Linked DNA regions of Sus scrofa. The protein of the gene in region 1 binds, or shares a complex with, the protein of each later gene. Links are inferred from orthologs where the notes say so. Each region holds a gene or a part of one and is shown on either strand. Other genes may lie near its edges.

Region 1 (3,828 bases):
AAAAACAACATCTGAAAATAGACAAATTCATGCTGACCGAGTAGAATAATGAACTATACTCACCTTATCCCTAATGTGAATGTTCGTTAAGTATTCAGATGGAACATGGAAGTCTGGATAATAAAATGAAAAAAGCCTTATTAACTGATTCTCAGTTACAAATACATTTTTAAAAGGTATGAACAAATAGATTTTCCTACCTATGTCTTGAGGTCGACAAGGTGAAGATGCCCAGGGTGATGCAAATTTGGGGTAGAGATTTCTGAATAAGGGGAAAAAAAAACCATTCTGAAGTCCAAAGTAGAAAAAAAGATATCTAATTTTATTTCAGGAAATCAGGAAAAATAATGACTTCAAATGTAAAATGTGCATATTTTAAACTTCTAATTTTTTTTTGTTTTTACTATGACTTACATAGCAGAAAATTGAAATAAGGCCCCCCCCCCCAATTACCTCAACTCAGAATGCTTTAAATTCATTAACACCATGCCCTCAAGTAAAATTACTTTCTTATTTATATGGCCAGGAAAAAAGAAAACAGTAATTATTAAAAACAAAAGTTCAAAATCAGCAAATATTTACTATTATATTTCTGGCACTGTTCTAGGTGCTTATACATCAGCAAACACAACAAAGATCACTGATAACATGAAACTTTCTGGTTGAGGATGGTGGATTGGGAAGGAGGCAGTCAAAAACAATTTACATAATATATAAATAATATTCCATGTTAGTGGTGGGGTAGGGAGGGAAGATTATTTGCATAATTAAATAGGGTAGTCAGGATAGGTCTCATTTAGAAGGTCATGTGTGACCAAAGATCTGAAGGATATGAGGGAGATAACTATTAGTTACTTGGCAGAAGATAACTCTAGTCAGAGGGAACTGCTAAAGCAATCAATGCAGTTATGACTGACATGTATGAGGTATAGAGCAGGAAGGCCACTGAAGATGGAACAGGGTGAAAAAAGGGACAAGCTGTTGAGGTATAGGTAGAAGAGACACAGATCATCCCTGTAGAGATTAGGAGGCCTATAAAGATTTGGGGGTTTTAATCATAATAAAACAACAAACCCTTACTAAGTATTGGGCAGAGAATTAACTTATTCAAAAAGGACTGTCTTCAGAGTTCCCGTTGTGGCACAGTGGAAATGAATCCAACTGGGAACCATGGGGTTTCAGGTTCAATCCCTGGCCTCCATCAGTAGGTTAAGGATCCAGTGTTGCTGTGAGCTGTGGTGTAGGTTGCAGACATAGCTAGGATCTGGCGTTGCTGTAGCTGTTGCATAGGCTGGCGGCTACAGCTCCAATTAGACCCCTATCCTGGCAATCTCCATATGCCACATGTGTGGCCCTAAAAAGACAAAAACAACCAACCAACCAAACAAACAAAAAGACTGTCTTGGCTGCCATGTGAACCAAAGATTATAAAGGGCAAGGAGAGACTCCAGACAAAAAAAGATGGTGATTTAAACCAGGGTGGGAGCAGTCAAAAGCAGCAAAAAACAATGCAGCAATGATGATTATACTATGCCAAACATTACGGATTGGTTAGAGAAGATTAGCTGCCAGAGTGACTGCTGAACTAGTAACAGAGGTCATTTGATGACTTTGAAGAAAGCAGTTTTAATTGATGAGGGCAAAATCCTAACTGAAATGGGTTTAACAGAGAATAGGACAAATAGGATACAAAGATGGCTCTTTTGAAGAGTTTTGCTTCAGAGGAGAATAAATGGGGGAGTGATAACTTGTAGAATAAGCTGAATCAAGAGAAGATATTTGTTAACATAGTAACAGCGTATTTGTATGCTGATGGAAATAATTCAACAAAATGCAAACAATTACTAGATTCTTTGAGTTTTCAAGAGAGGTTTTAAGTAGAAAGCATGGCTACAACAGGGTGGAAGACAAGAGTAAGGTGGGTGCAGATGATTTGTAGGCAACTGATTTTGAGGCAGGACAATACTGACACTCTTCTGATTGTTTCCATCTTTCTTTCTTAGTAAAGTAGAAATAAAAAGCAAAGTCACTCACTACCTGGCAAGTAAGCACAGGGGGAAAAGCACTCAGGGTTTGAAGAGGCAAGTGTAAAACAGCTGCACGGGAGAACAAAAGAATGAATGGACTAGGCATGCCAGTCCATTGATTATGGTTGGCAGAATTAAGGGCCCATTCTTGGGGTTCCCAGATATGAATGTGAAATGAGACCAAGCAGTGAAGTTGTGAATTTTTCTCTAACCAGGCTCAGTAGCACAGGCTAAGGATGGAATCAGCAGATACATAACCGAGTTGAAGTTTTTGCCATGCAGGTATGACAAAGCAAGAGGGGACAGAGCAGTCAGGGATTTATATAAATGAGAAATTATGACTGACCACAGAAGTTAACTGGAGAAGGAAGTGAGTTGGTCAAAGGGAACGAGACATAAGAATGCTGAGGAACATTAGAAAGTAGAAGAATCAATGGGTTGAAGGTCCCAGTGGAATCTAATGATTATAGGAGCCAGTAGTTGAGGGAGAGAAATGGAAACAAGAAGTGACATGGTAGCACAGATTTAATTACCTCACAGAGAAAGGGAGGTTACCAATAATGCCAAAGTCAAAAGGATGACCAAAGAAATGAGCAGCTGAGGTATGATGCAGGGAAAGAGTTCTGCAGAAGAGAAATTCAAGGAGCTAGGATTTTAGGATTTGGGAAGGATGTATACTGAAACTGCCAAATGATAAGAGGAATATTAATATAAAGAGAGAATGATCTAGAAGCTAATATAGAAGGAATGATTCAAGAGTCAGTAGATACCAGCAACAATGAGTGACAGCAGAGAATGTAATTTGATGACACAAAATTTAAAAATGCAGGGAGGTATTATATACAAAGGTGGAAGAAAAGAAAAAAACTTACTCAGGAGAGTTCAGATTGAGGCCTAATGTTGTTAAGTCACTTCCTAATGCAAGATGTACCATTCCTGGGTCTGTCTCTGCTGCCCTGATAAATGTTAACAGGCCAATCATTCCAAATTGGTCCGTCACCATACCTTGAGGAATGTTAGTAACCCGACCTGAATGAGAAAAACATAGTCATTTTTAATCTTTGAGGAAAAAGTAAAAAATATGAATTCTATAGTATCTTTGATATTATTTTATAGAGTCCCACCATCAGGTAACACCTGGATCCCTTTTTTCTGCTGGTTGTTATTTTGTGTTGTTGAACTTTTATCTCCAGGGAATTTGGGTCCATCTGTACTTGAACTTGTCTTGCCAGATGTATTCAAATTCTACCACGAAAAAAATTAAATGTGACATTAAAATTTGTTAGGTATAAACATTTCAAGTTCATATATTAGTAGCTTTCTATTCATTTTATATTACACTTAATTGGTAGTAAATTATTACCTGTTTTTCAAGTACATGAAATTTTTGTTCTACATGAAATTTGTGTTTCCACAAATGTCCCATGATATACAAATAAATCCTGTATTACATACATCTGAGTATTTAAAGAAATACATGAAAAATATTGATCTCAGCTTTTCAGTCACAGATTTAAAAAAAACAAAACAAAACAAAACAAAAAACCCTACCTATCTCAGAACTTTATGTTTTGGGGTACATTTGAGGTTACATTCCTCAATACTTCATTCAGAAGATAAACTAAATATAAAACACAGTACATTACCTAAAATATTACCATAAAACACCTCCAAGATAAGTTAGAATATGTGAACTTTTAAAATTCTTACTTATTTTAATTCTTACCCAATAATCTTCATCAATTATTTAAAAAAAAATATACAAACTCCCATCACACACACACATAAAAAACTATTTTCA
Region 2 (3,828 bases), on another chromosome or scaffold:
AAAAAGGAGATGCCTCCTCTAACGATGAGCCTTTCAAATGGCCCCGATAAACAGTAAACTGCTTAAAATGAAGAACTCTGCTAGAATAACTCTGCTCTCCTAACCTTATTCCTAGAAGACTACCTTTCAAAAGTCAAGCTAGGATATCTAAACTTAAATAAGAATTTAAGCTACAAGAGGGCAATGATTTTTGTCTGTTTTGTTCAATGTTATGTCACCAGGGAGTATCATATTATTTAAACCAGTATTTCCCAAACTTGCCCAATGATAACCAACATTCAGAGAACTTAGCAAAATATGGATTCCCAAGTCCCACACCTGGACCATTTAAGTCACAATCTCAAGAGAAAAACCTCTGGGTTTCACCATCAGATATCATATTCTACTTCAATTTTCATGTACATATCAACTTCAAATCCAGTTTACAGTGAATTCCCAAACACTGATCTGGACCTACCAATTCTAATTCTTGGACTTGGGCAAAAGAAAACAGAAGACATAACTATAACACTAGGTTATAATGACCATGACCAACTTTTCTCAACACTATGTTCCCCGGTGCTGACACATTCAGTCTAGGCAATCAATGAAAAAGCCAATTTTCATCTTTCTTTGAAATATCCAAGATTCTGTTCATGTTCACGGTTCTTTCTCCACATCACATGGTACTGGTTTTATCCTCCAACTGACCCTCTCTAGTTAAATATTTTCCACTCTATCCTTAAACATCTCTTAAGACATTAATGTTAGTATGAATGGTAGCAAAACTATAGCAGTATTCTGTATAAGAAAAAATATCTTTCAAAGATTTTAATAACAAAGCAGTTATTAAAACAAAAATGTTTCTAGAAAAAAAAAAATGTCAACTTAACCAAAACTGAAAAACACTGATCGGTGTCCTCCTACTCACGTACCGAGATCACAACAATACCTTAGTAAAGAACAATGTTCTAATGATGAACTTTGAAAAAAAAAATAACATGCAACCAAGGAAATAGTAGAATACTAATCTTAAAAAGGGTTATCTTTCCAGGAAAGGAGAAAAGGCAATTTTGAGAACTACACACTTATAAAAGTTACTGTCAGTTTGAATAGATGAGAGTACCTTGTACCCTTTACGAAATTCCAGAAAGTACATTATTAAATCCAACAGAGTGAAACAGTCATGCTAAACATAGCCATACTACTGCACCATTGACCATCTAAAATCATCAGCCCTGCTTTTCTTTAGATCTTATATGCTAAATAGCACATCACAGAGAATGGGAGGTTCTTACAATGGCACCACCATTCATTGTCCTACAACTTCTTTTACTATTTTTCAAATCAGATGTTAGATCATATGACACAAGCAGAGGCTGTGCAGTAGAAGAATAGCGCAGTATAGTAACATACTCAAAATGTATCAAACATTTCCCATCTTACAGTTTGTAACCAATCTGCCCTCACCCCCAATCAGTGGAAACTTCCCAAAACTATCAAGACTACTCCTACCAATGATATAGAAGTAGTATAAGTAAGGAAACTGGGTTCTGATCCAGATTTGAGTAAGAATTCAGATTCTGAATTGTTTCTAAAAGAAATACCAGGCTCAAGGCTACTATTACTCCTCCTATATATAACTGATAAAAAGTTCTATGGGCTGACTAGAAACATAAGCATTATAAAATACTGATATGAAAGGAAAAGGCACTCAAGTTTCTAAAAAATATTTTAGCACTTTTGATGTGTAATCTACACATAAACTGAAGTATGACCATAATAAAAATCTCTTCACAAGAAGAATAATTATTACAACAGAGACATGTATGTTTCAAATTCCAAAGTTTGAAAGCAAAATTAAGATACGGTTATTTATTCTACTGATACTTTCAATACCCAATTTTCCAAATTTCAAAGTAGTGCCAGTCGTACTTTTCAAGTAACATCTCTAAAACTCAAAATATTAGAATTTAAAAGTCTTCTTTATCCTGATTTTTTTGCCCCATTTAAAAAAAAAACAAAAAAACAAAAACACCTTGTGAAATTTAAGGTTTTAAGTATTTCCAGGATAACGATACCAAATTTAATTAGAATTTCATTTGTCACATTTCAGGGAAATTCACTTCTAAAATCAAACTAAAACAGGTTTGAATTATATTTATTTCCCACTTACGTCAAATTAAATTTAAAATTAAACTGCCAAGTTGAAGTTCCTGGAGGGTATTCTCCTTGCTCATTCATAAATGTCAGTCCTAGCTGAATTATCTTTAACAAGTCTACATTACACCGCAATAGTTGGTACTGATAGTCGGCATTACTCCTGAATTCTCCAATGGGTCTTGCAACCACACCTGGAAACTCGGTGTCCTGTAAAATATTTTAAGGTTTATTATTTACTAAATGGTTGAAAGCACAATCCACAAATAATTAAAATAATTAATTTGGGGTACAAGTCAAAGACTCTTGATATAGGTGATGTTCTACACAATTCATATTCGATTACAAAGTACCTTTTAACTAGGAAGAGCATTACTTTTTAGAACCATAAAATAAAACTCTCCAAACTTAAATGACTTCTTACTTTAAATACTGCATCAGTAAAAAAATTACTATGTGTAAGATACACACAATACATGCAACTAAGTATTCCCAAGGAAGGAGGAAAAAAATCACAAATACATGTTGCTCACAGTATTCTAATGCTAAAATCAATGAAGAACTGGTTAAAAAGAATAGAAAATGCATCATACTTTCCAACTGCTTTTCTGAAATAAGGTTTATCTAAACACCAAAACCTTAATTTCTTGTGCTAAACAGTATTCTTTTTACAGTCCAAAGAAAGCATGACCTTAAAAACTTCATGCCACCACTTATTCCTGTAAAATGTTATGGCATCTCTAATGTTTTTCATTCCTTATCGCCTGAGAAATAAATTATCTGAATGAATTTCTACTGGAAAAAAATAACTTCAATTCTAATTATGGGTGAGAACATCTATTATATAAAACATTATCTATGTACACTCAAATATTTATATTTTAACAAACTACCTGCTCCTCTCAAAAAAAGCATATTTATTTTCTTATGTTCAATATACTAATAATACATCAGTTTAATATTAAAATGCAAATTAGGAAACTAAAAACAAAACCTAAATAACAACTTACTCTGAAGCAGTAAAGAAATTAAAACTTTTCTAAATTCAGTCCAACTCAACAACCACTTTATTGGATGCAACGTGTTAGGCTAGGTATTGGGGGTGGGGGGAGAAAGGATGATTAAGACACTAATCCCTTCTTGAAGCTAATAATCTAGAAAACAGCAGGTTCACCAAGACAGTGCCAAAGAAGCAAAATAATTAACTGAGTAGACAGTCTAGGCAGACTGAATAGTATATGCAAAACTAGAAACACTTAACAGCACAGTGTGTTCATGGAAATCCACTGATTAAAAAGCAAACACAAAACTGCAAATCAACAATGCTTCACCGGGAGATCAGAATTTTTTGGTTTGAGAAAAGACAAACAGGAGCTCCATCTGGTATTAACATTAAGCCTTAGTGTTGCTTGGAGCAGACCTGGCATTCACAGCTAAGTCCTAAGGTTCTTCTGCTGAATATAAACAATTTCACACTCTTAACATCAGACAAGGCCACTTTGTAATCATGACTGAACATATGTAAAAGCACAAACATTGTCCAAACCACAAAATGGCCCAACATCCTTCTATGGTAGCTAATGAGTGACTGTTGCTTCTTCAGAGCTTTAGCCTCATTCTAGTCTTTTATTCTGGTTGAGACTCGTTAAGATACCCTATCACAGAATTTCCCCAGCTTCCCAACAGCCA

The links.
Region 2: CNOT2 (region 1) and CNOT7 share a complex: the UniProt entries of both Homo sapiens proteins name them as parts of the CCR4-NOT complex. The link is inferred for Sus scrofa from reciprocal best matches to the Homo sapiens genes CNOT2 and CNOT7.

The regions. Positions count from the first base shown.
Region 1 is NC_010447.5:34,533,222-34,537,049, reverse strand, and holds part of CNOT2 (CCR4-NOT transcription complex subunit 2), read right to left. Parts: intron 3,273-3,828; coding exon 3,152-3,272; intron 3,057-3,151; coding exon 2,900-3,056; intron 263-2,899; coding exon 201-262; intron 114-200; coding exon 64-113; intron 1-63. UniProt on the Homo sapiens protein: Component of the CCR4-NOT complex which is one of the major cellular mRNA deadenylases and is linked to various cellular processes including bulk mRNA degradation, miRNA-mediated repression, translational repression during translational initiation and general transcription regulation.
Region 2 is NC_010459.5:4,943,551-4,947,378, forward strand, and holds part of CNOT7 (CCR4-NOT transcription complex subunit 7), read right to left. Parts: intron 2,350-3,828; coding exon 2,156-2,349; intron 1-2,155. UniProt on the Homo sapiens protein: Has 3'-5' poly(A) exoribonuclease activity for synthetic poly(A) RNA substrate. Its function seems to be partially redundant with that of CNOT8.